2 linked regions of the Mytilus edulis genome follow. The protein of the gene in region 1 interacts with the protein of each later gene in a pairwise test. Links are inferred from orthologs where the notes say so. Each region holds a gene or a part of one and is shown on either strand. Other genes may lie near its edges.

Region 1 (16,470 bases):
ATGAGCAAAGCCTATAGCGCAGTATATATATATTATACATGTATATGCAGTACAATAACTGATAAATGAATACATCCTAGAAGAATAATGATCTATATTAAGTATTAGTTACTAACAAGTCTGCTCTACATTTAAATGCATGGAAAAGAAATTTACAAAGGTTATACATCATGTACATATGTCTTTTACATTTTCTTACTCCATAACCACGATAACTGTACAACCTTAAGATAGATTCATGGTATACCACCATCTTGGATTGTACAACCACAGTAGAAAATCAGTCTAGTTATTTGCCTAAATCTGCAAATTTGGAGAGAGATTTGCAATTTGATGGTTAGACTGTTTTTCTATATAAAGAAATTTATTAATTGTATTATACAAAATATTTTAACAAATATCATTTTTTTTGTTTCTAAAATCATTTTTATCAAATGAGCCATTTAAGGGGGAGATAACTCTTTTAGAACATAATTTATACTGTAGCAAGAAAACAAGTTCTGTGACACCATGTTTTCTTTTTATTTTCTTAAAATATATTATGAAACCTTTCTTCTCACAATTTATTTCAAAATTCTATCTCATATAACTTTTTTAATGCACACTAATGTGTTTTTTCATGTACAAACTAACCAAGTTTTGGCAATTTTCAACGACTCATAGCTTGAAAAATAGAACGGTGACCCATACTTTATATTAAATTTTCAAAAAAGCATAGTAAAATCTTCATTTTGGCAAATTATAAGAATATTCTGTCTCAGAGAAATGTGCAATAAAAGATTTATTTTATTTAAAAAAAAAAAGAAGAATATTCTGTTTCAAAAAATATATTCTTATGATCTACCTTAAATAATGATGGAAGCCTCTAATAATATGGCTTAATGTACTGTATCGTAGTGCATTTTAAAAATCACACAATAAACTGAAAATACTAAAAAAAAATAGTCTGCTGGTTTACGTGGTTTACAAATATATACATAAATAACAATAAATAATTATGAATAAAACGTTCAACTGAAAGCAAAGAATTGAAATTAGAAAAAAGACCATGCTTTGCTAGCACAATCTATATCTGTGTCCAACAAAACTGGTTAATTTTAATAGGTTATTTAAAAGTTTTGCATGAAATCAGAGCTCCAGATAAGCTGCGTATTTGCGTGATCCCGCTATACAAATAATAAAAAACCCAATGCAATTGCCCATTGTTGGGTTCAATAACCCAATTAATTCAAAGGGAAACCCAATTATATGCCAAAAACATTAGTTCTCAACCCTTTTATTGGCTACAGTTTACGTTATTTACCCTTATCTGTTTACAGTCGTTGCGTAAATCTTTTTTTATAATATTCATAATTGGAAATTTCCTTTCGTCCTAAAAATAAATCCCTGCATCAAGTAGCTTAAATGGGTCCCTGTTGGAGTTTTCCATTGCTTAATAAGTACACATGTTTTTTAAAACATTTCAATCTTCTCGGCGTTTATCCATTAGCATGTGTCATGAAGTCATATTTGTTTCGAATTGCTCGGGATTTATCATAACATACATTGAATTCAAACAAAAGTGTATGTCCGATAAAAATATTGAATAGAAGCATGTTTTCTGCTTCTTTTGAAAAGCTGAGGGAAAGTTCTGACGATAACAAGACCCAACCAGTTTTATTAGGAAGCGTCCTCGAACGCACGGGCGTGTATGCATACCTTAAAAAGAACATTGCAATCAAACATCAGGTTTTCGTCAAAAAAAAAAAACAGTTGGAAAAAGTGAAAGGCCAAATCAATTATGACATGATAAACATGATAAAGCACCAGAAACCTAAAGTTCTAGTAAAAGACAACTAAACCAGTAGATTTATGTAAATTGAATAAAACTTAAACATTCATGTATAATTAGAGTTCTTATACTATTTTTATTTCATTTTACGGTTAATTTATGAATACACATATACAGGCACTGTCACTGGTCTCAGAATTTATTATATAAAGGTACATGACGTGTGCCTGTGAATACACATATCCATTTTTGTGAGAAAACACAAAACTGGCAGAAAGTTTAAAACGGGACACAACTTGAACCTACTATTGCTCCTCAGTGAATAAACCAAATAAAACAGCTAGCAAATAACCCTAAACCAAATAAAACAGCTAAACAAAGAAAGAAACACATTTAAGATGGAAAAAAATCTGGGGTTGATATTGCCTAAATATTCAATATTGTGTTGATGAAAAAACCCAATACATTAAGGAGCTTGGTGGTGAAAAACCCAATTTGATATTAACATGAGGGGTGAACTGGAATTGATAATGCAATAAAAAAACTTTATCACCCAATTATATAAGAAAATGGTGGGTAAAAACCCCAATTTGTGAATCCTTATCTGGAGCTCTGTGAAATGTATTTCCAATTGGATTTCTTTCAAAATTCTTTTTAAATGAAGACAATTCAGTAAATACTGAAAAATATTAAGTACATGTATAATCCTTTACTGTGGTGATCTTAAAACAGAAGATTATCTTATGTATGCTCAGGTATGAACGGTCACAAACTGCAATTGAATTTTTGCATCAGTCAAAAACTTCCTCAGTTCAACCCCAAAGCTTCAAAGTTGATATGGGTGCATTTGGAAGATAACAATATTGATAACCTGTCTCATTGACTTTTATCCTACATTTATTAATAATCTTATTTTGTACTGTTATATAGATTTGCTTTTGTGTTATTACTGTAACATACCTAGATGCTTCTTTTAATGCACCTCTTTCACTCAATGTTGTATGTTTTATATCTTCAAAGTTCTTCTCCAAATTTGTTTCACAACTCTGCAACATCAAAACATACATCTTTCAATCAGTGTATATTAAAGTAAATACAATATTTTAATAATGTTTATAAAGCTTTAATTTATAAAACAATTGGTTTTTTTTTTGTTCTTTTATAAATGATTGCCTCAACAAATTAAAAAATGGCTTCAATTCTCATATGTGTCTTATGTTTTGAACTCACAAATTTTCCTACATCTACTTATCGTCAATAAAAGTATAGTTTTTAATTCTAACAAGAATGTGTCCATAGTACACGGATTCCCCACTCCCACTATCATTTTCTATGTTCAGTGGACCGTGAAATTGGGGTCAAAACTTTAATTTGGAATTAAAATTAGAAAGATCATATCATAGGGAACATGTGTACTAAGTTTCAAGTTGATCATGTTGATGTAACTTTAACTTCATCAAAAACTACCTTGACCAAAAACTTTAACCTGAACTTTGCACTATCATTTTCTATGTTCAGTGGACCATGAAATTGGGGTCAAAACTATAATTTGGCATTAAAATTAGAAAGATCATATCACGGGGAACATGTGTATTAAGTTTCAAGTTGATTGGACTTCAGCTTCATCAAAAACTACCTCGACCAAAATCTTTAACCGGACGGACGAACGGAGGCACAGACAGACGGACGGACGAACGGAGGCACAGACAGACGGACGGACGAACGGAGGCACAGACAGACGGACGGACGAACGGAGGCACAGACCAGAAAACATAATGCCCCTCTACTATCGTAGGTGGGGCATAAAAACGCATAATTATATGCAAAGTTCGTTTCCTTCAACATTTCGAAATTCTCTACTATTTATAGTATATGTAAGTAACTTTGGAATCATTATTAGGTATATTTTCTATTATTATGATTTGTTGATGTTACATGATGTAATTAAACAAAATTAAAATTCTAAGCCTGCAATCTCTCAAAGAGGAACATTCAGAAAGGATGTTCTGCTAACAAACTTTTAAATACTGTAAAATAATTATTTTTGAGGATGCTTTATTTCCCATTTAGCCCATTCAATGGTCATTTGATTTTGCAATTCTCAAAGGAGAAGGTTCAGTAAGACCCCTTTTCGGCCCCAAAATATAGCAGCTTTACAAAAATGTGAAAATGTAATCTTTAAGCTATTTATTGGAGAGTAGAATGCTTCTGCTACATAAACATGGGCTGTTTGACAAAACTATGCACATATACCTGGTACTTAAGCATCATTAAGTCATGCTAAATTACTGAAATCTTAAAAAATTTAGCATTTTAGTTAAATTTTAGACGGTTTCTGTTTATAAAAATGAAAGGGACTGCATTCATGTTCATTCATATTATTGAAATTTAAGTTGTATTTGATGATAATACATAATATATATAAAGTTAAGGATGAACAAAGTTGTGGCCACTTTCATTTTTGACAAAAACCAGCTGAAAAGTTACGTTTTTTTGCATATTTGATATATGTTTCATATTTAAGCTTGAATCGGTGCGTTTTTAATGACTAAATCAGTTAAAATCTTTCACACAAACTAATTGAATCAATTGAAATAGACACTTAAGTGTTTAAAAACTGTCTAAAATCTTTCGTTAGATGAACTTGAAATTTGAGGCCAAAATCGACCCTTACCAGACCTACTCCTTTACCTGATGTTGTTAAGTAAGAATGGTAAGGAAAACCCAAGGGGGCGATAAATGTCTGACCCGTGTTAAGAGAGAGCCACATCTCTTGCACGTAAAAGACACCCTTGTAGATTTCGAAAAAGAGCAGGCTAATGCCGCTACAAGGCAGCAATTGCACCCGAAAAGTGGAAAGGGATTAATATAAGTCGCAAAACTTGTTTCCCAATCCCCTTAAATAAATATGTTTAAACTAAAACCCAAGTTTTACATATTTGCGATATTTTTCTACTTGTGAAAGTTGCCTAATTAAATCACTCTTGAAAACTAGTTGGTTTACAGTACATGAACATTTGTACTAGGTTAACATCATCCATCAAGACTGTCATGACTGTTGGTATACAATTAAATGTTAGTTTACACTAATATATCATATTATTGTGACTTACGTTACATCCTTTTTCCTGGTTCCTTTTCCAGTGTTGCTTGTTCTTCTTGGTTGAAGCACTAGGTACCAGATTGGCATTTTGATGAATTTTAGGATTCAGAGCTAATATGTTCTGGAACATAAAATATTAGATTTTTAATCACTATATCACTATATCACTGTATCACTATATTAATATTTTAGGCAGGTGGGATTTTTTTTTATAATTACTGGCTAGGATATATGCCCTATTGAAATGTCCCTCGCACCATGCGCACTGCGTAAATGAGGAATTATAAATTTAATTGTGTGTACAGTATATAGAATTCTAGAAATTTAAGAATAGGAACACAGTTGTGTATTTCAAACTTTTTAATTTGTTACAAAGAATATGTTTTTATTATCATGATAATCATGATAATGGTACCTCAAAGGGAAAAAAAGTATAAATCTCATTTCTCTGATAAATGATGGATTAATGACTTGATGTCCACCATTTTTTACTAGCTATTTACTTTTACATTACCATATTCATGACATTGAAGTTATAATATCGTACAGATGTTCTTCATTCATGTCATTAACAAAATGATAAAAGTTAAATTCTTCATTTCTTTAATATAAAGTTAATTTCAAAAGGACAAAAAATTACAATGATTCATGTAACTGTCCATCACCATATTCAATTTTGAACATGTTTGCCTTCAATAAAATTATGTAGTTATATATAGCTACGTTAGTAGATATACCATTTTTACAGCAATTCAGTAAACATATTTGACCAACTAACATAATTGTCCTAAATTTAGTCCAATGGAATAATAATTTGTCATATATATCATGTATATATATATATACCTACATGTTATAAATGTCTAACATGTTAAATTAATGATGTTGTACTTAATATGTCTAATAACAACAATATATGTAATGGACCTCAGTACATAAATATGTACACAAAACACATTTTAAGGATATAACCAGGGACTTCCAATCAATGTCAAAGGTTATGGTTGCACTGGTGGGATGTAATCAGCAGAATTGAAAACAGTTGAACAGATTTTAAAGTAAAATGGAAATAGATGTATCAACAACATATAGTTTTAAGAAAAATCTATGGACTTGAAATTGGAGATTTGATAATTTTAAGACAATTTTCTAACATGTTCGTTCCATTAGAAATTGAACAATACTAATGTAGCTTAGGTGTAGTTTTCAGAAACTAGCATGCATATACAATGATATACATTTTGACCAACTTTATTGTTCTAAATTTAGTTCTACCATGTCTACTGTCTTACAAATGTCATGCATATAATTAATGTCTAAACAAGTTAAAGTAACGATGTTGTTCTACTTTAAATTTTAAAACAGTGCAGAAATTACTTTTATTATGACATGACAACTCTAGTATATTTCAGTGACAGAACCATAAATTTTCATTAGTGGGGGGCTGGGGCCCACTGACTGCCTAAGAGTGGCCAACTCCAGTGATTCCCTATATAATCAACCAAATTTTTCCCAGTAATGGGGGGGGGGGGGGCTCCCAGAAAAGAAGGGGGAAGCCGCCACCCCCTCCCCCTAAATCTGCCTCTGTAATTGTTATCCTTATCCTATGTTGAGATACCTGGTATATAAAAATTACAGTATAAAACATGGTAAATATCAGTCCCTTACAATTTTATTTAGGTTCTGGGGTTTCAACATGTTCAAAAGCAGTGTTGATTTCATTAAATTTAACAATTGGGAATTAAAAACAAAGAGACAAAAATGCAAGAAAAACTGAGCATTTAACAATGGTTATGTAAGAGTTAATTTGTGTAATATAGCTATAGGTTCATAACTTGGAAGAAAAATATTTAATTTACTTGTAAAAGCAAAAGAAATGGAGAAAAACGTGAAATGCACAAATACAAAAATATTTTGAGTCATAGCAAGAGTAGAAAGAGTTGCTTTAGAGACATTGAACCAAGCCATATACTCAAACATGCAATACCAGATTGATCAGCATAGAAAACCATATCAATTGCATTTTTGACCACTGTCCAGGATGCAACAATTACTTCAACTCACTTTTGTATTTTCAAGAATAATCTGCCAATGCAAACTGCCAAGTCAAACAGACAAATGAAACATACTAAAGTATGTTGCAATTATATTGCATGAACTTTAAAGCATTTTTAACATGTTTAACTAGGTTTGATTAGTTGCTACAGATGCATATAGATACATTTGTACAGAAGATGAATTTAAGCTTTTTTGTGTACTGGCCAGCCAGACCAGTGGACTGAAAACTCTACTGGTCCAGCTCCAAATCTACTGGTCCTGCAAAAATGACATTCATTTGACAAACACTAATATAAATGATAGATGTTTAATTTTATTTTGATGCTTTCATAAGTTACACAGGAACAAAGGGATAGTCTTGATTCTGATTTTGATAAAGTCTTTGATAATCTCAAGTATTTTCTTGATCAAAATCAAGATAGAGAACAGATAAAATATCAACATTGTCTTCCGCGTCATCTCAATCCTCACGATGACCATAGGGTGCCTGACTGGGTCGTCTGAAGCGCTGCATCATGTCTAGAAATATTCCAAATTTTCACATGTTGTACAGTTCATTAAATTCCAATCTACTATATAATTCAACCATTCACGATCTTTTTCCCATGATTTTTGGTATTACTTTATTTCGATCTTCCTTTTGATTTTCACTTATTTTATTTTTTTTGTCCGGCGGTTTAACTCCTTCCAAAAATTTCCACATTTTATATTGTTGTGAAGGATGCTCACCCGAGATTTTAATTAACTTGATCAAATTAACTTGATCAGTACCGTGTAATTAATTTCACAGGTAAATTGTTCATTCGGCAATCCTTGGTAAAATCCGCTTCTCTCCTTCTATCCTTAGATGAGGGTACGTAATCGACCGAGTTGAGACGAATGGTAAATTGTTTTGTAAACAAACGGAGATTGGAATGCAATCAGTGATTTTTAGCGACAAATTTCTACTGGTCAGCCGGACATCCACTAGCGTAGCGTAACATTCTATTTGCATGGTATGAATTTGCCTGTCCCAAGTCAGGAGCCTAGCTGTACAGTAATTCAGTGGTTGTCGTTTGTTGCTGTTAGTTAGTTGCCTTTTTGTTTCGTAGTATGGATAGTAAAATTGTGTATTTTATCTGACTCGTTTAAATCACTCGAAACTAGGTGAGAAATGCACAGAAGTGATATTTATCATGTTTATGTATTATAAGTATAGAAAATTGAATATTTTAATCAACAAAAAAAAAAAAAAAAAATATCTGTATTATATATGCAAGTGCCTGTGGTTGAAAGCTGTATTAAAGGTGAACTGTAGCTGTGTCAAAGTAAAACATATCAATCTTTGCAAATTCAAAAGTATAGCCATTGAAACAGGATCAAAGGCAGCTCCCCCCTCCCCCCCCTTTTCCCCTACTTTGTGGGAAAAAATGTTATGTTAAGTAGAAAATCACTGAAGCATAACTGAAATCCACCCCTATTAAAGTAGTCAGTGCCCCCTTTTTTTTTGTAAAAAGTTTTTGATCCGTCATTATGGATCAATTCATATGACAGATTTCAAAAAATTGATATTGAGAGGTTAATTTAAGAAATAATATATTCTTCACAGGGCTAGTCCATTATATAGCATGAAAACTTTTGTTCAAAGTTCTGTATTCATGGGATGCTGTTTCAATCGGTTTCGATAACATTATCCAAATCATTTTATGATTATGCAAACACAGATATCTATATCATATGTCCATTATCTGGGTCAGTTTTGTCCAAGAGATTAATGCATGAATTATGAAGTCAGTGCGTGCAAATGAACGCTTAATAACGAAAGAATTTTATATAGCAATATAGAAATGTGTATTGTCAATGCAGTCCTACCTCTATATCTTGCACATCCCTGCTCAACAACGTGGCCATGATGCTGAACTTGTTTACATATAAATGCGGTCAGGTCAACCTTCAGTCATTTAGCTAGTCCATTGTATCGTGTAGGGGAAGTAGGATTTCTATTTATTCCAGCGCAAATATTCCAGTGCACCTGAACTGAATACTAATTGTTTAAAACATCGTTTTTTCTCATTTTCTGTATATTTTCATTTAATTACCGTATTGTTAATATTTTAACCTCGATTATCGACTTTATAAGCCATTTTCAGATAACATCTAGGATGTTTACACAATCTCAATGAATCGATTTACTATTGTGTCCCAAGGATACATCCGTTCAGATTTAGTAAACGGTGTACATATAATGTCAAGGAATTGTATATTTAAATATACAATATTCCTTGATAATGTTTACTAACTTTGGTAAACATATACAGTAACTATTCCAGTTAAAATGCACAGGCGCTTGGGTATATCACGCATTTTCAATAAGAGGGTGCACGATCGGCTGTCGACTATGGCAAGCCGTTGTGGAATTTATTCCCTATTTATTAATATTAAAAAATCTGCATATTTTTAATCCGTGTGGACCAACACAAATTTTTTTTATTTTTTTATTTTTTTCTGTAACGGAATCAACAAATTGAAATGTTCGTTACTGTCGCCAAATCCTAAATAAGGTGTTGATCACTAGAAAGTTGCCTCGTTTGTGCATTTCTTTATCCTTCACAGTTACACAGCGGTGATATCTTTCAGGAAAAAAACCTTTCATGCGTTAATCTCCCCAAAACGCATGAGGTCCGTGTAACACTTATCAATTCAAAGTTTTAAAAAGTTTTGAAATTTTAGATTTTTGGAATTTTGATCAAAGTTTAAAATATCAAAATTTCAAATTGTGTAAAAGTTTTGAAATTTTTAAATTTTAACCAAATTATTAAAACATAAAAATTCTGAATATCGTTTTTAAATTTGAGAGTTTAGGAATTTGATCAAACTTTTAAAATACTAAACCTTACGTGCAATTTTGATTATTTCATTTCTTGAAAGTTTGATTTTTTAAATTTTTGATTAAAATATCAAAAATAGAAAAGGGGCAAAAAGAGGGGTACCTGTAAAAAGCGGAACGAAACGAAACAATATGAATTGAAAACATACTGATACTTAAACGTTAATGTTTGAAATAAAACCACAGACAGACATTTGTAAGCGGTGAAAAATTGGATGACAAAATAGATATTTCTCAAAAGAAGAGAGTTCATTTCAAAACCATATGTACGGCTCTGATATTGGCCATTTTACTTGCTGCTTTTTCTAGCACCCATATTTTAGGAGAAACAGGAGTAACAGTAAAACTGAACAACTCGCAGTAGGTCAAATAGTATAGTTAGGTTGAGCATGTATATATATATTTTCTACTGAACTCTAAGCAATAAAAAGGCTCAATACACGGTGTATAATCTCTTTTGATTTGATTTTTTTTCTGTTTTGCTCTACGACTTCTTACTTTCTGCAATCGTGTTGGCTAAAGAATATATCATTTCATGTACATTATGAACGATCATCTTCAACGTTTTAATCTGTTATTTGTTGGCCCTAAATATTCAGCTTTGAGCGTTCCATAAGAAGGTCGATCAAGAAAAGCGCTTCGGTCGTAACTTTTAACGTTATGTTTTCATTTTTATCGGTTGTATGACGATCATAATTATATTGACTTGTATCAATGATTTTAGTTAATATTTTTTTGGTACGGTAGGAATACTGAATGCATGGTGTCCCAATTAAGGTTGTGCTAGTCTACAATGTGGGAGGTTTTTAACATATATATATATATATATATATCTTATTTACGCTGAAATGAAGAGTACTAAGATCAAATATTAGTAGATTGGAGCCAAGATACTGTTACAAGGTATCTACAAAAACTCATCATAGATGGATACCAGGATATAAATTTTGCCGTTTTTTGAGCCAGACCGTCGTGTTTCGTCTACAAAAGACTTATCAGTGACACTCGAATCAAATTAAGTTAAAAGGCAAATAAAGTGAAATAAAATTAAAAAGGCCAAATTTAAATCCACTGACTTATAGCTCTGGTTTTGTAAAAGTTGAAACCTTTCATATCATATATAAACGTATACCATAAACATTATTTTCACGAGCATTCATATTTATGTAATAGTTGCCGCTGTACTACATTAAGCGCCCATCTAGCATTCATATTTATGTAATAGTTGCCACTGAACTACATTAAGCGCCCATCTATCCATTTGTAGGTGTCGGCATGTTGAAAATTGAAAATTCTTTTCAAAAGTTTATATCAGTGATAAATGGTAATCTTTTGGGGAATCCAATATATAGATAGTCACTTTTTTTTACTTTGATACTACCACGAGGGGCTTTTCGATAATGGTACATTAAAATAATATGATCACTAATTTGATGAAAAAAAATAATACACTGTGTCTAAACCACACCGGCAATATTTGCTCGGACTCGATGGTATCTAACATCCGGCACAATGACGGAACACCAATAGACAAAAGAAAGGTAGGTTTCTCCTTATTTTTTTATTTTTTTTATGATATCGAAGAATATATATACATATACAACTATTTTCTATTGTGAGATGCAATATTTTCTACAACCGTACTATATTAAGGGAGAAATAAGTCAAAATGCATGTCAAAATGACGAATTGAGTGAACCTTGCCTCGAAATTGTTTAATTTCTCGTAAAATTGTTCACATTGTACGGAAAGAAAGGTACGGGAAGATAGATATTGACACGGAGATTGCAAATTTAGTTATTATGAGCATCTCAATAATTGTATTTCTGTGTATGGAACGAAAGAAAAGGGTCATGTCAAATTAAAATAAACCGTTTTCGTCAATGTTGTTACTACACAATCACCCGGTTTCGTCTACATAATATATCACCCGGTTTTTTTTTGTTTTTTTTTTAACAAACAATTTATGAAAAGAAACTTTGGCACGGATCTGAACATTGTCTTTCGAGAATTTAAATATATATTTATTGTAAAGTAAACTTGGCGTGTTAAAATCTATTTTAAACGGACACTTTTGGACATAGTTAATTATGATAATACACATTTTCCTAATGAAAAGCGTATCCCTTATTTCACTAACTTCAAACTAGTTTTAAATGGAATATAAATACTGAATAGCAAACACTGGTATCTAATTATTTTGTAACATTATTATATTTTCTTTGTTTATAATAGTAGTATGTAAAGATGAAAAATAAAAGGATGTGTTTTGATTGTGCCATAATTTTAATTTACTATACTATATTATATACACTTAGTTTACAATATTTACTATCAATTATTAATACATTTATGCATTCAATCATTGACGAACAGTCCCAAACCGACTATAGTCTATACTGTTCTGCACAAATTAATCATGCATGCAATCCTGCCAGATTTTCTGGTACTATATATATATACTGTGTTACTTGCGCACTTAAGCGAGTTTTCACACTTAAGCATCCATAACATACATGTAGCAGTGAGATTTGTAACTTTCTCCCCGTTTCTGGTAGGCACATTTATTTTCATAGGCATGTTTTTCACATTATTTTTACAGTTCAAATTCATTTTTTGTACAGTTCAAATTCAATTGAAACTTCAAGATAACTTTCGAAAACAATATCTGACAGTTTTGTATTTTCAATGTGAATAAAAGTTGGTTTGCAAAACATGACCGTCATTTATATCTAGGTCTTATTAAGAAGAAGTGACGGTAACCACGTATCTCATAAACATTGACAATGAGACAACTTTCTTTTAGACACAAAAAATATGTTGAATTAATCAAGTTTAGGTCAGCGTATGCCTTAAACAATGAGAAAAACACACAAACTGCATGAAAGCAAGCTATAACAGGGCCCTATATTATAAATGTAAAAAAATTCAATCACTCTAAACCAAAATTTTAAACATCATCAAAAAGTAAACAGAAGTTTAAAATATTTATATAACTAAGAAGTGTATAAAGTTTAATGCCGTTATAATACTTCGTTTTTGAGATATGGCGCGACATGTTAAAAAAAACCCACATTCCTGTTTCACTAACATTTTCTGTAACTCAAAAAGATTTTTTGATTTTCACTAAAAGGTTTGCAGATCGTTTGACCATTATAAGAAATAACTATGTTAAATTTTAAGAAAATAAGATAAGCTGTCCTGAAGTTACGGTGCGACATGTTTATGCTGGACAGACGGATAGATAGACGGACAGACGGACGGACCGAATGACTGATAGATGGAGGAACGGACGGATGGAAGGACGGACGGACAGACGGGTGTATACAATAATACGTCCTGTCAAAATTGGACACAGGGCGTGTAAAAACGCAAAGAAATGAAAAAAAACAACTCGTAATTAAAGGTCAATAAGTTTTATTAGGATATCGGTCAAGTCGATTTATTTGTATATTTGTCTGCCTTATCATTTTTGCTATATAACTTTTATATATATTTGAAAAAAATGTATAGAACCCGATAAAAAGAACTTGATATTCGGCATTTATTATAATAAACATAATCCAACTCACATAATCCGATTTGCCGGATGTCCCTGTTTTCTCATTTCTTACAATATTTTAATTCGGTATACACTTTATAAGATAGTATCGAATTCATAACAGTGTGGCTATGGACATTGATTGGCGCACTTTAATATCCCATTGACTGGGACAGATTAGGTGAACGTTCGTCTATAACGCCCATTGCTCACGACGTCATTAATATAAACATTTAAACCGTGGGGTCACCAAAGGTTCTCAACGCCTATATAAAATAATTCGAAATACTAATCAGGTATTTGTGTTTTGATTTATATTGATTAATTAAACGTCCTTTACTTGTGTTTTTGTTATGTTTCGACAATCAATTTTCATATAAGATATCGCAAAGCCATGTTCTTTCATTTGTGATCGCAAATAAAATATGTTCCGGACCTTATGAGTATTTGGACCATACGTGTATGGTTGGACCATATTAGTATACCCTTATGGTCATGATATATGCGTATGGTCCAAATACTCATATGGTCCGGAACACATACATGATATTCTGTGCGTTGTCGGTCGTCTATTAATTTTTTTCTTTTGTTGATGGATTTGACGTCTTTCTGTGAGTGATTATTTGTTCATGACTTAAAACTTACTTGCAAATAATTTAAAAACAAGACTTGATTTATAAAAATGTCCAAACAAACCATGATTTTTTTTAAACATACATCACATCCATTGCAAAAGGCTAAAATTCGCCAGGTCTTTAATTTCAACTAAGTGAGTTGACTAAATTAATGTTGCGGACCATTTTCCAATTTCCATGCGGTATCTCTATTTTTTTTCTCGCTTATCTTTTATGTTTGTTTTTTTCATCCCAAGACCTCTTGGAGCTTTCATTCTATGAAGTGTGTATTTTGCTAATGGTCGAAGGCCATACGGGGACCTATAGCTTGATAACGCCTGTTGGTCCCTGGAAAGAATGTGTCTGATTGCCTATCACACTTCATATTCTTATTTTAACATGCAGTTATATCTATGATAAGAATGAAAATTGAATTGTCATTGAGACAAAAACCCAACCAAAGAGCATAACAAAAAGAAAAAAAAAAGCCCAAGGCAACATGTAGATCTTTCGTATCAAGGGAATTGCTATAAATATATTTATTTCAGGTTAATAGTATTAGGCCATACTCAAGTTATAAAATAGATCTTGTCGTCAACTTTTGCAACCAGCTTCTATGTTTCTATAATGCACTGTTCATCTTTTTTGGGCTTCGACTTTTCCATTGGACAGACAATTTTGTTTTCGACTGTTTTAAAAAGATGCATTTTTTTACAAAATCATACATGTAAGGAGTCTCTGGCCTTTGGTAGTGTTGTATGTTAATTAATTAATGTTTATTTATTTGTTTAGGAAATAAGTATGACGTACATTTTCACTGAACTAGGACACTTTTTATAATAGTTTTTCGATATCGCTCTGGCAAAAATAATCACGAATATAATGCCTACCCATGTTAAAACTACAATAAAGTATAGTTTGCATCAATTATTTCTTGAACCTACCATTTTTTTTGTCTGTGTTGGATTTGTGTGGCATTGAAAAAAACGGGTATAAACTACACAGTGCAGCTTCCAACAAGAATACAAGATTTATTGATTTTCAAAATGCGACCAAAATTAAAAATTTGCTCGCAGCGGAAAAAATTCAACAGTTTGATTTTCATTGAAATAAAATAATTGTTATGATTTACACACCGTTACTTTTTCCAATATAAATATTCGAACTATTTTGTTTGTTGTTTCCTTTATAAATTTACATCATTTTTAAAAAGACCACGCGTCTTCGATATTTAGAAGACTATAAAAGCGATGTTCATTATCTTTCTTCTGCTGTAAGTTTAATTTAGTTATTTTGTGTCATAATTGCCATCTCGTATGTTTTAAATTTGAATAAAGAAGATTCAGGTTGTCTTATACGTCAATGATACACACACAAAAAAAAACGATAACAAATAAAATAAGGTGCAACATTCATTCTCCATGAAAAGAATACATCACATGGATGTAATTTTTGTAAGAAAAATACTAATTTCGTGAGAAGTTGTGTGTTGGACTTGAAGAGCCAAGGCAAACTGACAAATATCTGAATGAACGAATCGATTTATGGTATATATAAAAAAAAAAAGCCCACATGGTTAGCATTGAATAAATAGAAGGCCACTCTTAAATGATCACAACGTAGAAGTTTTTGTTCTCTTAATCAATAAGATATTTTCTGAAATAACGCGGGTCCCTATTAACTTAAAAGTTTTTTTGGTTTTTATACGACCGCAAAATTTGAAAAAATTTTCGTCGTATATTGCTATCACGTTGGCGTCGTCGGCGTCGTCGTCGTCGTCGTCGTCGTCGTCGTCCGAATACTTTTAGTTTTCGCACTCTAACTTTAGTAAAAGTGAATAGAAATCTATGAAATTTTAACACAAGGTTTATGACCACAAAAGGAAGGTTGGGATTGATTTTGGGAGTTTTGGTCCCAACATTTTAGGAATAAGGGGCCAAAAAGGGCCCAAATAAGCATTTTCTTGGTTTTCGCACTATAACTTTAGTTTAAGTTAATAGAAATCTATGAAATTTTGACACAAGGTTTATGACCACAAAAGAAAGGTTGGGATTGATTTTGGGAGTTTTGGTTCCAACAGTTTAGGAATTAGGGGCCAAAAAAGGGCCCAAATAAGCATTATTCTTGGTTTTCGCACAATAACTTTAGTTTAAGTAAATAGAAATCTATGAAATTTAAACACAAGGTTTATGACCATAAAAGGAAGGTTGGTATTGATTTTGGGAGTTTTGGTCCCAAGAGTTTAGGAATAAAGGGCCCAAAGGGTCCAAATTAAACTTTGTTTGATTTCATCAAAAATTTAATAATTGGGGTTCTTTGGTATGCCGAATCTAACTGTGTATGCAGATTCTTAATTTTTGGTCCCGTTTTCAAATTGGTCTACATTAAGGTCCAAAGGGTCCAAAATTAAACTTAGTTTGATTTTAACAAAAATTGAATCCTGGGGGTTGTTTGATATGCTGAATTTAGAAATGTACTTAGATTTTTAATTATTGGCCTAGTTTTCAAGTTGGTCCA
Region 2 (17,162 bases), on another chromosome or scaffold:
TTGGACCCCGATTTGGACCAACTTGAAAACTGGGCCAATAATCAAGAATCTCAATACATTTTTAGATTCAGCATATCAAAGAACCTAACTGATTCATTTTTTGTCAAAATCAAACTAAGTTTAATTTTGGACCCTTTGGACCTTAATGTAGACCAATTTGAAAACAGGACCAAAAGTTAAGAATCTACATACACAGTCATGACAGTTAGATTCAGCATATCAAAGAACCCCACTTATTCAATTTTGATGAAATCAAACAAAGTTTAATTTTGGACCCTTTGGGCCCCTTATTCTGTTGGGACCAAAACTCCCAAAATCAATACCAACCTTCCTTTTATGGTCATAAACCTTGTGTTTAAATTTCATAGATTTCTATTTACTTATACTAACGTTATGGTGCGAAAACCAAGAAAAATGCTTATTTGGGTCCCTTTTTGGCCCCTAATTCCTAAACTGTTGGGACCTAAACTCCAAAAATCAATACCGACCTTCCTTTTGTAGTCATTAACATTGTGTTTAAATTTCATTGATTTCTATTTACTTAAACTAAAGTTATTGTGCGAAAACCAAGAATAATGCTTATTTGGGCCCTTTTTTGGCCCCTAATTCCTAAACTGTTGAAACCAAAACTCCCAAAATCAATCCCAACCGTTCTTTTGTGGTCATAAACCTTGTGTCAAAATTTCATAGATTTCTATTAACTTAAACTAAAGTTATAGTGCGAAAACCAAGAAAATGCTTATTTGGGCCCTTTTTGGCCCCTAATTCCTAAAATGTTGGGACCAAAACTCCCAAAATCAATACCAACCTTCCTTTTGTGGTCATAAACCTTGTGTTAAAATTTCATAGATTTCCATTCACTTTTACTAAAGTTAGAGTGCGAAAACTAAAAGTATTCGGACGACGACGACGACGACGCCAACGTGATAGCAATATACGACGAAAAAATTTTCAAATTTTGCGGTCGTATAAAAATCAAAGTACATGTTTAGATAAAGCATATCAAATAAGCCCAAGAATTAATTTTTGTTAAAATCAAACTTAGTTTAATTTTTGACCCTTTGGACCTTAATGTAGACCAATTTGAAAACTGGACCAAAAATGAAGAATCTACATACACAATTAGATTTGGCATATCAAAGAACCCATTTATTCAATTTTTGATGAAATCAAACAAAGTTTAATTTTGGACCCCCATTTGGACCAACTTGAAAACTAGGCCAATAATTAAAAATCTAAGTACATTTTTAAATTCAGCATATCAAAGAACCCCAATGATTCAATTTTTGTTAAAATCAAACTAAGTTTAATGTAGACCAATTTGAAAACGGGACCAAAAATTAAGAATCTACATACAAAGTTAGATTCGGCATATCAAAGAACCCCAATTATTCAAAATCATCAATTGATGAAATCACACAAAGTTCAATTTTGGCCCCTTTTTGGCCCCTAATTCATAAACTGTTGTGACCTCAACTCCAAAAATCAATCCCAACCTTCCTTTAGTGGTCATAAACCTTGTGTTTAAATTTCATTGATTTCTATTTACTTATACTAAAGTTATTGTGCAAAAAACAAGAATAATGCTTATTTGGGCCCTTTTTTGGCCCTTAATTCCTAAACTGTTGGAACCAAAACTCCCAAAATCAATCTCAACCGTCCTTTTGTGGTCATAAACCTTGTGTCAAAATTTCATGAATTTCTATTCACTTAAACTAAAGTAAATTTACTGTTATAGTGAGAAAACCAAGAAAATACTTATTTGGGCCCTTTTTGGCCCCTAATTCCTAAAATGTTGGGACCAAAACTCCCAAAATCAGTCCCAACCTTCCTTTTGTGGTCATAAACCTTGTGTTAAAATTTCATTGATTTCTATTCACTTTTACTAAAGTTAGAGTGCGAAAACTAAAAGTATTCGGACGACGACGACGCAAGAGGACACAGGACGACGACGACGACGCCAACGTCAAAGCAATATACGACCAAAAAATTAAAATTTTTGCGGTCGTATAAAAATGATGATTACATTGGTTGCAATGAAATACTGTGATTTCACAGAACTAGAACTTTAAATATAAACTGGTAATTACACATGTGAAAATAAATTGGATAATTTCACATGTGAAAACCAATCCTATTATTTCACGTGAAAATAAATTGGATAATTTCATCTAATTTCATCTGATTTTATACATTGGGTGATGTCAAGACATTGTAGATGATGATGCATCAAAACAAAATGTGAATATGCAGAAAAAGATATAGTTTGTTGTAATTTACTTATTAGTGCCATTAAAAGCCAACTGTCAATGTAATAAGAGGAACAACTTGTCAAAGAACTAATATGTATAAAATTATTCAACTTGTGACAGAAGAACACTGACAATTTAATCATGTGCTAACAGCTACACTTGTCAGTTTACGTGTTGTTTGGTCACTCTTGATCATTTTTCTATATTTGATTTCTTAGATAAGTTATTCCATAAGTCTTTTTGCAAAAGTGAGAATGGTGTGTCCATTATACGTTTGAATTTGATCATATTTCACAAAAATCCTCATTATATCAGAAAATGACTGTAGTATACCAGTATAGAAAATGAAAATTCATTATTACAAAAAAATTGCAATGTATTCTTTCCTAAAATATTTACTTACAGTTATTGACAAACCTAGTCCATCATCAGCACCTTTCTGTATAAGGACCTTCCTCACATCTCCCAAACCATGCTGTTTTCTTAACGATTTAAAGTCCTGCAAAATTAAGAACAATGTTGAAATTTTATAGCACAATGTAATTCAGTTAAATGTATGTGGAGATTTTTCATACCGGTATGATTAATTCACTGAATTCTATTGAAAGTTTGACAACATTGTTATAGAGTTCCCAAAACACAGGTTTATCTCATAAATATTTTAAAACTTACATGGCCGGCCGGAACAGGTAATTTTTTCTTCCAGTTATTCCGTCCACGACATGCTCGTATTACTGTTTTGTGTCTGTGTAAATGGATTTCTGCTTCTAACTGGTTCCAAAGCTTGTCATGCTCTGCTCCTCTCATGTCTCGACCTAACAACTGGATCTGCTGAATTCTACAAAACATAAAAGACATCATAGATGATTGTTTGTGGTTTATTTAACATATAATAGCAAATATTTCATATAAAAAGAAGATGTATTGCAATTGCCAATGAGACAACTCTTCAGAAGAGCCCAAATGAAAAAGAAATTAACAACTATAGTTCACTGTACAGCCTATCAAAGACAAAAATAAATTATCAATACATTTTTTTATGAAGCTCTGCAAAGTGGGTCTACCAGCATAAGGTAAAAACTTTCATTGCTCTCAATGATTGTGTAAGAGGCCACAGTGGCTAAATGGGTTAAGTAGTTCATCAACAGCAATCAGCTAGCAATGTAGCATGTATATACTGAGCTTGTGACACTTAACTTAATTGACCTGGATTGCCAGTTATCTGGCAGAGGTTATGACTCTATCAAGGTTATCAGGTTTCCTCCATCAATATAACTTGGCACATGAAATGGGCACTGACAATCCCCTGAAAGCTTCTTTCTTGTATAGGTGCCTAAAAACTCATCTTAAAACTTATACTTCTGTTTCAATGTGTATTTACCTTCCAGCTAATTCTTTGTCTAAATACTTAGCGGCAAGTCTTGCACCATAAACTTCTCCCTGCAGAGCTAAAACATATTGACGTAGTTCAGTATTTTCTTTCCTTAATTCTTTTACCTCTGCCTCTAATTTAGCCATATTTAAAAATTCTGCTTTTTGTGCCTGCAATTCATCTTCCTGTAATTTAAAACATTGAAAACTTTTAATTCAGAATGTTTTGTAATGTTTGTATTATTGCTAAATTTACAACAGATTAAGTTTTGCCAAATAAAAACTGGTATTTTAATTTTGATATCATTATTAGGCTCATTCTAATCTACTCCTTTCAGATATACATATGTATTAAAACATTGCAAATGTTGCATTCCTTCCATATATAGGTCACACTTACCTATTTACAAATTGTATGGGTCACAACTTCATTACAGGCCACATAAACATAAGCAAAACAAATATTTGACAGTTTTGATATCTTACATTTAGTTCAGCTAGTTACAAATTATAGAAAAGAGAGGATAATATGGGGTATCCATTCATGACACATTATCAGTAAATGCACAGCAAAAAACAGAAAATGCCAAGGAACATCATATATGTTCTCCAAAAGGTTTTTCTCACCAGTTTTTTCATTATGCTTGTAGAATCAGCCTCTATGCCTTTATCGGCCTGTTTCTGTAACTGTAGTGAATGGAGTTGTAATAAGACATTATGGAGTTCTTTGTCAACCAGAGCTTTAGAGGATTTCATTTCTATCATGTCTGATCTCATATCTACTAGCTGTGCCTGGAAATTAAAATAAAATTAATCTTAGTCATGTCAAATTAAGTCATGAAGGTAAAACCTGAAGAATATCTGAAATTATTGATTGTATGCATTGTACTTCTATAAATAGAATAGCATCCTGCAATTATACCATGTATACTGAAGAGATGAGTAGATGATAATTCCTGTACATTTCAAAATAATTTATGTATTGCGATCAGATTAGGCCTCCTTGTTTAATACATGTAAAAAAAATGTACAAGGGTTACACCTCCCTAAACGAAAACTGATTCTTATAAAAGACATCTATAGTTGGAAGTGATGAGGCATATGCGCAATGCTTGGCAGTTTTACTTTGTAGGTCCATTTCATTTGCATTCAACATTTTTATCAGATATTTTGTTCGTGGTTCAGTATTGAAAGTTAAACAATATTTGATATACAAGAACATGAAGAATGTGTCCATAGTACATGGATACCCCAATTGCACTATCATTTTCTGTTTTCAGTGGACAGTGACATTGGAATCAAAACTCTAATTTGGCATTCAAATTAGAAAGATCATATCATAGGGAACAAGTGTACTAAGTTTCAAGTTGATTGGTCTTTAACTTGTTAACTGCATCAAAAACAACCTTGACCAAAGACTTTAACCTGAAGGGGGACACACAGATAAAGGGACGAATGGACCCACAGTTCCAGAAAATATAATTACAGTAGAAAAATCAATAAATTTTATCATGAGTTTTTTTTTAAATCGAGAAGATTTCCTGAAATTTTTCATTGTACAATGTACTAATGAACTCAAAACTGTTAACTTTTTTTTTGATGCTTTTTTTCATTTCCGCATTTGGGCAGAACACAGAAATCTACTTCCTTCTTCCGGTCTCGTTGTCGTGAGACATAGTAAAATATAGAAACTCAAGGAACACAATACCAATATTTCATTTTAAATACTTCTTTGTCTTTGATATGAATTAAGGTTACCTGATGCATTGCTTTGAGTTTCTTTGTTTACATTGAACATGACGCCATAACTTAAATAATGTCACAAGTAAAATCCCTAACAACAAAACCAAAATCAAAAACGTTACAGTATTTCCGTTTCTTTTTTTAACAAATATTTTTAAAAGTTACAAAAAAAATAATTCATACAGACTTCGTCCTCATTCACAGGTATTGCCTGCCTCATATTACAGGACTATAATACGTTATTTCTTGATTCAAAAGATCATCAATTATGTACACTTTAATGGTGTAATTTCTGATGAGTCTTTTGAAGAGAAAAAGCACTTCGGGATGAGTCTTTTGAAGAGAAAAAGCACTTGGGCTTAAATACAAAATTTCAATCCTAATATCTATGATGAGTTTATTTACCAGACAGCAAATGAACCCCTGCACTATCACAGTTTCAACAATTTTCTGGATCGTCGATCTGCAGGGTAGTTTAGGAATATTTTATGTTCAGTAAGAATGTAATCCCAACCCCCATACAACTGTAGTTATTTAGGTTTTAATTTCCCAAATATTTTGAGTAGCATGTGTATAGCATCACTTTATCGCCCGTTTCCTCAATATGAGATGGAAGTGACGATGCATAGATTTTGGTCACAAGGCAACTGGTATGACATGAAAGATTCAACTAGTTTCAGAGCTGGCTTATGAACCCTACATGTACAGTACTCTTCAAAAATATCGATTCGATAACTTTTTTCTCCGATTTCCGTGTTTCTCGGAATCACACCGAGTACCGCGGATTTCACTCCTAAAATCCTCCAAAGATTCTCTCCCAACACCGCGTGGCTGTTAATTGGTTTATTGCCCATCGGATGTACTTCAAATTAACGACGCGTGACAACATAATTGGATTACCCAGATAATTTACCTTTGAACATTTAATCGATCTTGGTTGCACAGGTGTGCTTTAAAATCACGGTATTATAAATTGAACAAATGTTTTCCTTTCTTTGACAGATAAAGATGTGACAATATCATTTAGAATAAGATATTTATTATCCTTTATATTTGTGTCTTATGCCGTTATCTTTAAAATAGAACGTACATACGAAAAAGTATGAAGAAAATTGTTATTTTGTGTTTCTATTACAGTCCGGTCAGGTCATACATTGTGTAACTGTGTTCTTTCAGCAAGGACGATTTTGCCACAATTAGTTTCTTTTATAACTTATTCAATAAGCAATATCAGCGCATTAATTGTTCATTATTAAAAAATCAACTGGCTAATAAAATCATGTTGTTTTTTCGGTAACCCGATTCATCGGATCATCAAGTAAACTTAATTTATTGAGCAATGTAAAATATGATGTTTCACAACCTCGGTACATTTATACAGACTTGAATAATTCAAATTACGAACAGAAACTGTTAAATGACAACTCTGTTGACAAAGGAAATAATTTCAAGTGATATTGATAGTGCTCGTCATTTTCGCATTTTACAGAACAGTTTTCAAATTGACGAAAGTATTTATATCAATTTCGTCATTTGAATTTGGAAAGTGAAAAATATTTTCACATTAATTATATAATAAATGTACTATAATTCTACCGGTGTTTGACAAGTTTATGACGCTCAATCATTTTACGTTTACAAAAGATGTTAAAAGTTGTGATGATAAGTAATCCGATTATCGCTATCCGATAGGTCACTAATCCTTTAATTATTAATAAAATTTATCAAACCTCATAATTGCCCATCATAATTATCTATTCCAGTTAAATCAGTCATCATTTTATTTTCAAAATTTCCCAACCGCCTACAATTGGCATTTCTTTATCGTATTATCATGATTATTGTCATTTGAATACAATCAATCACCCCGGACAATTTCCATCATAATTTCAATTAATACATCACCAACTGTAAATCTATATTATTGACCATGGACATATAACTATAAATGTACTTTCTTTTTTGAAAGATAAAACATTAAAATTCAAATAGTTAAAAATGTGTTCACGTTTATTCGGATAAGAATTATATTTTCCCGATAAATCAATTGTAAAAGGACCTTCTGGAGCCTCAATACGATTGCACAAAAATGTCGTTCTGCAACTTTAGAAACCTTGAATGGACTTTCCCACGGTCGGCCAGAAAGGTCACCTGAGTTTACTAGTACGCGATATTTTTTCCCGCCCTTTAAAAAACTCGTGCTGTGGATAACATTGATGTTAACTATTTTTAGCATTTAACATTGTTAAGTAAGTCAAGTTCAAGTTCAACCCAAACTGTTGATAACTGAGATGTGTATCGCGGAATTGTCTTCGCACGGCAAATAATTGTTTTTAAAATCTTTTGTAACGGAAATGTATTATTATTCTGCTGTACTGCCAACAAATCGTAAAAGGAAAATGTCGTAATTGTTAAGCATAACGAATGGTGAATAATATTTTCCTTTTTACTTGAAAATACAAAACTTTCAAACACGTAATTTTATTTAACTGTTCAAATTATTTTAGCAAAAGTTTCCGGTTATTTTTACACAAGTATGCTCATTTCGTCAATAAAATATTAATTTACTGGTGAAGACATCGAGGTCAAAATTAAGTAGTTTTCATTTTTTATAAAACTTGAATACAATTGAAAGAATTAACAACAACATTTTGCTTTTAAATCTTTTATTCATTCCAGCAATTAGATAATCGTAAAAAGAAAATGCCGTAGATTTACACAATTATTACGGGGCAATTATTTTGTCTAATGAATGGTGAATAAATTTTCCTTTTTACTTGCATATATAAAACTTTTAGACTTATAATTTTTAAATAAAGACTTTAACTTTGAAGTAGAATATTTTGTTTTTCACATATTCCGCTATATTTTATAATCGTTTTTTTTTTTAAAGCAAGTACATTAAGGTTAAGATATTTTTAGATGGGCTAACAAAAAATACGAAAATATTTTGACTTTAGTTTTAATTACCACAAATGAAATTTAATTAGTATTAAAGACATTTAAAATTATACACCTGTTTGACACTTAAACTGGTACAGTAGACCGGAAATATAATTCTTTATTACTTCAACCTTTACCTGTCAGGTAATCCAATTACCAATTCAGTCTTGTGCCGGTATAGATCAAAGTAGGATAAGGGCAATTAATTCCTCGGTGTAGAGAGTGAGCTCGTTATCACAATAAACATTTACCTGATTTTGGGAGAGATTACTCCCAAATTCCTCCCAACATTTTGGGAGGAATATCGGAGTTTTTCGGAGTGGCTCCGACATTTTCCTCGGTGTAGGGTGTGGGAGAGTTGGTACTCTTGAAGGGTACTGTATGTAACATGATGATGCAAATTATTGTCTATTGAGAAATAAAATGTAGTATTTTTATTTTCAGAAGTTATTGACAACTCTTGGTTTCAAAGTTTTCAAACATGGATGGAAAAATGGTTTCTATAGTAAGTCTTACTTCAAGTTTTGCATTTGATTGGAACACAGTTTGAGCTTTGTGACAGAGCTGGGCAAATGCAGCACTGAGAGCTGTCATCTTTTGCCGGCCCTCAAATGTTAATTCACATTGGTCAGGGTCAATATCACCAAGCAATAGATCAAGATCTACAAACGCTTTGTCAAATTCCTTTTCTAAAAGTTCTAACCACCGAAACGATAAAGTAGCTGTCATTTTGGTTAGGCGACAAACATTAATTTTTTTCCTTCAAGGTCTAATTAGTTCATGATAGGAGACGACGAAATTTTTTTAATTACAAACGCTCAAATGATTCAAATGAATAAAAACCAAAATGTCACACGTCATCAAACGGGAAAATTTCCGGAAAAATAAGTTTTTTTAGCGGCAAATTCAAAAAGATAAAATTTAACTTAGTTGTAGAGTTGTAGATTGCTAAGTTTATTGTATTTATATTTAAAATATTCATTAATTGTTTTTCTTGTTTTAATCGTGTGCTTTTTTTCGGCATTTTTTCCTCGCCTTTTATTTCATATTTGCAAAGTTCTTTGTATAATATGTCTTAGACTGGTTCGCCTGTCTAGATAAATGTGCATTATATATAGCGGGATCCCAGTCTAAATATGTCTCTAATACAGCAATGACAATAGAATCACAATATAAATCATTGAATACATTCCGATGGCACATATTCACATATGCACTAGAGGAAACCAACAGACATAAAAACATATACTGAACAACTATGTTGTTGCATATTGCTCAGCACCGATTTTGTTGTTGTTCTTGTCCACACAGGGTATGTATTTGTTGAATGGAAGCCTCCTTTTTATTTTTATTTTTTTTTGTTTAGATTTTATTTAAACATTTTTTAACATTTACTCTATTTTCACCTTATTCAATACGTTCTTTCTCTTATCCATACAAAGCTGTTATAAGTTCGTAAATCATTTCTTAACCATTTGTTTTCTCCGATGTAATTATTCGTAATGTAAAACAAAGTAATTGTTATTTGTTTGATAGCAGTCCGATTATGTTTTTGTATGTGGCATATGATCAATGTTTGGATACTATTTGTTTTAAGGAGTTCAAAATGGCACCTAACGGAGTAAACTGTAATACATGTTTATGTTGTTGAATGTAGGTGCCATATGTTCCAGTCCAACCGCAGAAAATATTTAAATACTACTAAACAACTCCGGCACAAGCCGACCATGCGAGGGCTAAAAATCCAGCCAAGGTCGTTCAATACTTCCAGTAGTAAAATGATTAAAATGATTTTGAACGATTAAATGATACACTATATATTTTTCAATCAATGGGAGATGAACACCTCATTTGCCCCACTACCTTGAAACTGTGATTAGATATATATACTAAAAGATATCTGTTTTATCATCGATACTTGATGTTAATTTGTATCTAACATCTAAGAAGCCAATACCCATCAACCTTTTCCCACCAAAATAACTTTCAACAAACTGCTCGATAATTAACAGTTCCGAACGTAAATTGTCCATATTTAGTTTAGACCCAAACCATTTGGTGTTGTTTTTGTGCAAGTTGTTCTTCTTCTTTCAGTACAGAGTCGGACTCTTCTTGAGTGTATAAATGACTCTTGCTCGTGAAATCATGAGGCCTTCCCTCCTCACTTAATAAAAACTATTTACAGGAAAATTATTTACAAATAAAACTATGTACATCTGGGGTCAAAGGAGATCTAGGTGTGGGAAGCTCCTGTCAAGACCTCTGGCAGGATGGTAAGGCTGGCCTTGAACTCTTCTAGTGTAGCTGCTGTTGTGGCTTTTTCCGGTATAGTGTTCCATTCCCTGGTTGTTTTTGGGAAGAAGGAGTACCTGTATTGGTCTTTTAGAGTGCGCTGTTGGTGTATGTGGTGGCCTCCTCTGGTCCTTGAATCTCCGGGTTTGTAATAATTAGAGGGGTCAATATCCACCAATCTATTGCGGATCTTGTATGCCATGGTGAGTCGGTCTTTGCAGCGGCGATCTTTAAGAGGCTCCCATTTTAGTCTCTCCTTTAAGGAGCTGACACAACCTGGGGATACATCTTGGTATTCATTGTACACGAACCTAGCTGCCCTTCTCTGTACTTGTTCTAGGTCTTTTTCAAGGGTATGTTTGTAAGGGTCCCATACAGTGGAGGCGTATTCCAGGGTAAGTCTGACCATGGTGATGTAGGCGTTAGCTTTGACTTCTGGTTTACACCGTCCTAGGTTCCTTCTCAGAAAGCCTAGTGTCCTTGATTCTTTGCCTACCGTCTGGTTGATCTTGTATGTTAATTATACTAATTTAATATTGACTTGAATCTAGAAAAAAAATAATAGTTACATTTAATGACCTTTTTTATGTGTTTAATTATTCCGTTTTACTTTGATTAACTATGATCACAAGTCACGTAGTCGCCATTCTATAAGTCTATTCGTGTTGCTTAAATTAGTCTTTAGTTATTTTTGTGTTGTGTCATTTGTACTATTATTTGTCTGATTGTAATTTTATTTTTTAGTCATGGCGTTGTCAGTTTATTTTCAACTTATGAATTTGACTGTCACTCTGATATCTTTCGCCCATCTATTTTCAAAAGCATTTGCCAATTGTATTCTTTTTAGCTTCATATTTGTAATCATATTATACTGAAGTGTGTTATCTCTAAATTTGTCTGTGGTTTCCTGAAGTTGAAACAGATTATGTTACTGTCATTCCCAAACGGAAAACCACAGAAACAAAATTGATTTGATGTAGGACACAATATGCATGACTCAATTGAATACAAAAGTGCAGCTGTGTCTTAGAATATGTTTCCTCTGATCAACTAATCCATGCATAGTAAAGTGTGACTCCTTAGACTCCACCCCCTGAGGTATTTGTTTTCAAAAATTACCTTTCAACCCCAATGTTTGCATCTTTTCATTTTAATTATCCCTAATTTCTATTTGAAAGATTGAATTAATGTAAAGTTAGTAAACACATGTCTTAATAAGGTTACGGTAACACCATTTTTATTCATTCAAATATTAAATACATTTCTATACATGTATAAGAAAATGCCTGTACCAAATAAAGGCACCAGTAGCATACCGGTGTTTAAAGTCATAAATCGATTGAAAGAAAACAAATGTTGGTTGCAAACTAAAACCGAGGGAAACACATCATCATAATAAGAGGAAAACAAATGGAACAACAGGGAACAACAGGGACGCTGAAGTGCAACAAAAACAAACGCCATCTTTACTAAATAATAAAGTTTTGTTTAACCACAAATCTATGGAAATGGACGTCATGTTAAGCTTTCTGATTGATAGGCAGATTTTGTATTGAACTTTTGCTTTACAATGCCCTTCAATTGTCTAATTGATTTTGCCTTTCAACTGTCTTGATTCGAGCGCTTCTTGTGAGTCTTCTATGGTATCACCAGCCAAGTAGTCATCGTGACTTCGGTGTTGACATGAATACCAATTATACGGTCATTTTTATAAGTTTCCGGTTTATAAAAACTTTGAATTTTTCGAAAAACTACGGATTTTCTTAAACCCAGGCTTAGATTACCTTAGCCGTATTTGGCACAACTTTTTGGAGTTTGAGGTCCTCACTGCTCTTCAGCTTTGTTCTTGCATGTTTGGCTTTATTACTATTTTGATATGAGCGTCACTGATGAGTCTTATGAAGACGAAACGCGCGTCTGGCGCATTAAATTATAATCCTGATATACATTTGATAACTATTCTAAAGACGTACTTCTGGTATTTATATACCAACTCATAAGTCTTTGATTCAGGAGGTTAAATGGGGTGCTCATTTTACAAGTATCGCTTGTTGAGATTTTTTTCACACTTTTCACTTTTCACCTTACGTAGTAACGAGGAAATCATTAACATCAAGGTGACGTTTATATTCTTTTGGAATATCTGTTAAAATTAGTCTTTCTTTAGCTCTACTGGATAACTAATAACAGAAGTGCTGTTACAAGCAACTTTGTATTGCTTTTCCATTCAAGTGTAGTATATAAACCCTCTTTTAAAAGTTTTAAAATGCGCAGTACAAACTGGACAGAATCACAGTTACTCTATAACTACCTTTGATTAATATATAAACCTTACGAATTTGGGTTTCTAGCTTTTGTCAATGCTTGCAAATCAGAACTAAACAGAGAGAATGACACGCTTTCGGGAAGTGGGATATAGAGATAAAAAAAAGTGGGGATGAGGAATTAAGTTGTTAAAAAGAAAGTGAATTATCAATACACAATTCCCTTATCAATAGTTATCAAAGGTACCAGGATTATAATTTAGTACGCCAGACGCGCGTTTCATCTATATAAAGACTCATCAGTGACGCTCATATCAAAATATGTATAAAGCCAAACAAGTACAAAGTTGAAGAGTTTCAAGCCGTTTAAATAATGCAAAAAAAACAAATTCAAGCTTTTTCTGCGGGCACACCAACATGTTTGTCATGGAGGTAGGAAACATATATACATCTGTTTTTAGAAAGGGACAAATACATTTAAAAATACCACCTTGTTGAAATGAAACGTTCAATAAAACTGAAATTCCAAGATGCTTGATATTTTTATTTACATCATTTCCTTTGGTGGTATTTTATTTAATATACATTCTGTATTCTTATGTGAACCATATGTGCTCATTTCTTGTCGGTTTGATTCCACTATTATGGGCCGGACACTTATGTAGACGAAACGCGCGTCTTGCGTATCAATTTATAAGCCTGGTGCCTTTGATTTCTATCAACATAGTCACCAAATTTCGATTCTGTAGTAAGGGAACATCATTATATAGCGGACAGTTAAAGGACAGTGCTAACTTCTTTTCTTTCCTTCTTAAAAGTTCACGCAAACTCTAGAATAGGCAGTTTCACAATAACTCTAAAGCCCAGCTTTGATAGCTGATGAAATTGATGTAAAAACTTTATAATTTAGAAAGAGGTTTCATGGAGCACTTGGAAGACCCAGCAATAAACCGTTGTTTTAAAGATCCAACCGTTCATCAATAATGTCAAATTGGAATATGGGATGTTCTTTCAATATTTAAGGTTAAAGAAACATGGATAAAATCTGATCCATGCATATTTCATATTATTTATATTTTATTTATCTGTAAAGAGAAAAATTAAAGTTGGTGAAACGGATAAATTAATACGCAGACAGGACTGCCTGCCCCCTTGCGATGTCCAGTACTTGATTTGTCAGTATGCTTATCGTTTTTGGATTAGTTCTTATGAAGTTATATTCAATACTCAGACTGTTCACAAAAAAACATAATTTACTAGAAATATTCCTTCTTTCCCTTCGGTATCGTTTTCCTTTTTCTGCAAGAGCCTGTTTTTAACCAGAGCTCCATGATGATTATCGTTACTAGGTTAATGTATTCGAAAACCATCACCCGTTGAGATGCTGAGTTATATCCAGGGAGAATAATTTATTAATAAAAGGAATGATGACAGAACAATAAATGACTGTTATATTTATATATATATATATACGTATTAAAAAAAGCCAGTGTCGAAATTTTTGTGAGGCAATTGCCGGGTCTTTACTCCCCCGCGTATAGTTGATTTGTTTCCTTCGGTTTTAGTTTGTAACCCGAATTCATGATCATTTTCGCATTATCGATTCATGACTATTGAACAGCGGTATACTAATTAATGTTGCCTTCATATATAAAATCCAACTAGCCATTTTATTACTGGTGACCTCAACATTGTCATTTAAACTTCTGAGTGGAAAGTCTTATACAAAGGCTAAAAAATCTTCTAAATTTCAGTCGATGATTATGCCAGGAAATTGGCTAAAGGCAAACAAGAGATCGTATACTTTTCTAATCGTGTTAAAGAAAGGCAACAGTAGTATACCGCTGTTTGAAATTCATAAATCGATTAGAAAAAAACAAATCCGAGTTACAAACTAACTGAGTGAAACGCATTAAATATAAGAGTAGAACTACGACACAACAGAAATTCAAATACAACATTAAAATGTAAAACACACAAAACAAACTATGATATAACAATGGCCATTTTCCTGACTTGGTACAGGACATCTTAAGAAGAAAAAAATGATGGATTGATCCTGGTTTTGTGGCATGCCAAATCTCCCGATATAAATTGGAATATGAATACTAACTACATAAGGTACATTGAACTTGAAAGACTTAAATGTTGCTAATAACCTGTCATACTTCCATGACAAATATTGTGTTGTCCCGCTAGCTACTAACAACATCGTGTTTCTGTGTAAGTCACATTACAAGGACATAAATGCTAAATTGGTAAATGAATTGAATATTTATAATTCAACCGGAAACTCAAAAGAATGTAGGACAGAAAGCCACAGGACAAAAAGTCACAGACAAAAAGTCACGGACAAAAAGTCACAATTCATTTTTTCTGATACAATTGTCAACAAATTATTTGTGACTTTTTGTCCTACCAAATTTGTGACTTTATGTCCTGTGACTTTTTGTCCTGTGACTTTCTGTCCGTTTACCACTCAAAATACCCCTGGCTACTCACCAAAGAGTAAATCTTAAATAATCAAAGGTCTGTTATATGTTTGTTTACAAAGTTAAACAAAAAACAGAACCAGCTCTATCTCCAGTTAATTGGATACCTAAATTACATCAGTGTCCTTACAACAAAAGAAACTTTATATTGCTGAGTTTACAAATGCTAAAAAAACACCCCGAGCTCTTTCTAAACTATTTACATTTATTTTATTAGCAATCAAAGGCTGCTTCAGAGTAATTGTGGCACTACTTAATCTAGGGACAATGTGGATCAAATATGGATACTTAAAAATTCAAAGATCTGTTAGGCAACATACTATCTAAGTCACTTTTCTCTTGCAATGGTATAAAACAATTCTTTTCTATCCTGAACAAAAATATTTTCCGTTTTAACTTAAAATAATTGTTCTTACTTTGTTTCATGAAAAAGAAAGCCAAATGCAGAAAACGATATCTTGTTAGACTTGGACTTCTTTTAAACTAAGTTTAACTGTGCGTATTGCTGTGTGTTTCTTTATTCTATAGAGGTATAAGGGGAGGGTTGAGATCTCACAAAACATGTTAAACCCCGACGCATTTTTTGCGCTTGCCCCAAGTCAGGAGGCTCCGGTTTTTGTAAGTCTTGTTTGTTTTTTTAATTTTAGATTAGTTATATGTTTTGGAGTGTAGTATGACGTCCATTTTCACTGAACTAGTGCACATTTTTATTTTGGGGACAGCTGAAACCCACCTCCATGTGCGGGATTTCCGTTTTGAATTTTCTTCGGAGTTCAGTTTCAATGTGATAAAACTTTTTTTTCAAACACTAAATAAATCTAAAGTTTGTTGCTTATGTTGAACTGATCTATCCCACACAGTACTAAAACAAATTATACAACAGATTCAGTCTTGAATTACTTCTCGAAATTGACAATGAGGGTCAGTTGAGTACACAACTTTAAGACAAAAACATGATTTCAGCTTCCCAATTTCAAATTTTAATTTTCATTTCTATGTAGAAATATTTCAGGAGCGACTGCATATATCTTAAATGTTTCCAGGTTGAAACAATATTTCTTTCGTTAAATTGTATTATATTAATGTGAAAAGCCCACATAAAACTGGAATCGTAAATCATTTAACTCTGCTAAACTTGTGGATTTAAAACTACTAAAAGAACATGCTTAACCTGTCACATTTTTGCACCTATCCCAAGTCAGGAGCCTCTCGTCTTTGGTATGTCTTATGTGTTTTATTTAATCGAACTACAGTAAGGAGTTAATTTATATGTTTTTCAGTTTGGTGTGACGTCCATTTTCATTAAACTAATACAGATTTTGTTCAGGGAACAGCTGAAGACTTCCTCCTGGTGCAGGATTTCTTGCTGTGTTAAAGACCCATAAGTGGCCTTCCCCTGTTTTCTGCTCTTTGGTCAGGTTCTTGTCTCTTTGACACATTCCCCATTTCCATTCTAAATTCTAACTATGACTTAACTAAGGATTTTCTTATCCCAGGGATAGATTACCTTAGCCGTATTTGGCAAAAAATTTTGGAATTTTGGATCCTAATTGCTCTTCAACTTTGTACTTGTTTGGCTTTATAAATATTTTGATATGAGCGTCACTGATGAGGGCATTGATGAGTCTTATGTAGACGAAACGCTCGTCTGGCATACTTAATTATAATCCTGATACCTTTGATAACTATTTACACCACTGGGTCGATGCCACTGCTGGTGGACATTTCGTCCCCGAGGGTATCACCAGCCCTGAGTAGTCAACACTTCGGTGTTGACATGAATATCAATAATGTGGTCATTTTTT

What was found.
Region 2: the proteins of dihydropyrimidine dehydrogenase [NADP(+)]-like (region 1) and Golgi-associated PDZ and coiled-coil motif-containing protein-like interact in a two-hybrid assay, tested with the Homo sapiens proteins (2 studies listed by BioGRID and IntAct). The link is inferred for Mytilus edulis from reciprocal best matches to the Homo sapiens genes DPYD and GOPC.

The regions. Positions count from the first base shown.
Region 1 is NC_092344.1:85,727,047-85,743,516, reverse strand, and holds the start of dihydropyrimidine dehydrogenase [NADP(+)]-like, read right to left. Parts: upstream 8,917-16,470; 5' UTR 8,823-8,916; coding exon 8,784-8,822; intron 4,996-8,783; coding exon 4,885-4,995; intron 2,818-4,884; coding exon 2,732-2,817; intron 1-2,731.
Region 2 is NC_092353.1:75,384,241-75,401,402, forward strand, and holds the start of Golgi-associated PDZ and coiled-coil motif-containing protein-like, read right to left. Parts: upstream 9,098-17,162; 5' UTR 9,039-9,097; coding exon 8,826-9,038; intron 4,416-8,825; coding exon 4,251-4,415; intron 3,810-4,250; coding exon 3,634-3,809; intron 3,091-3,633; coding exon 2,925-3,090; intron 2,752-2,924; coding exon 2,656-2,751; intron 1-2,655.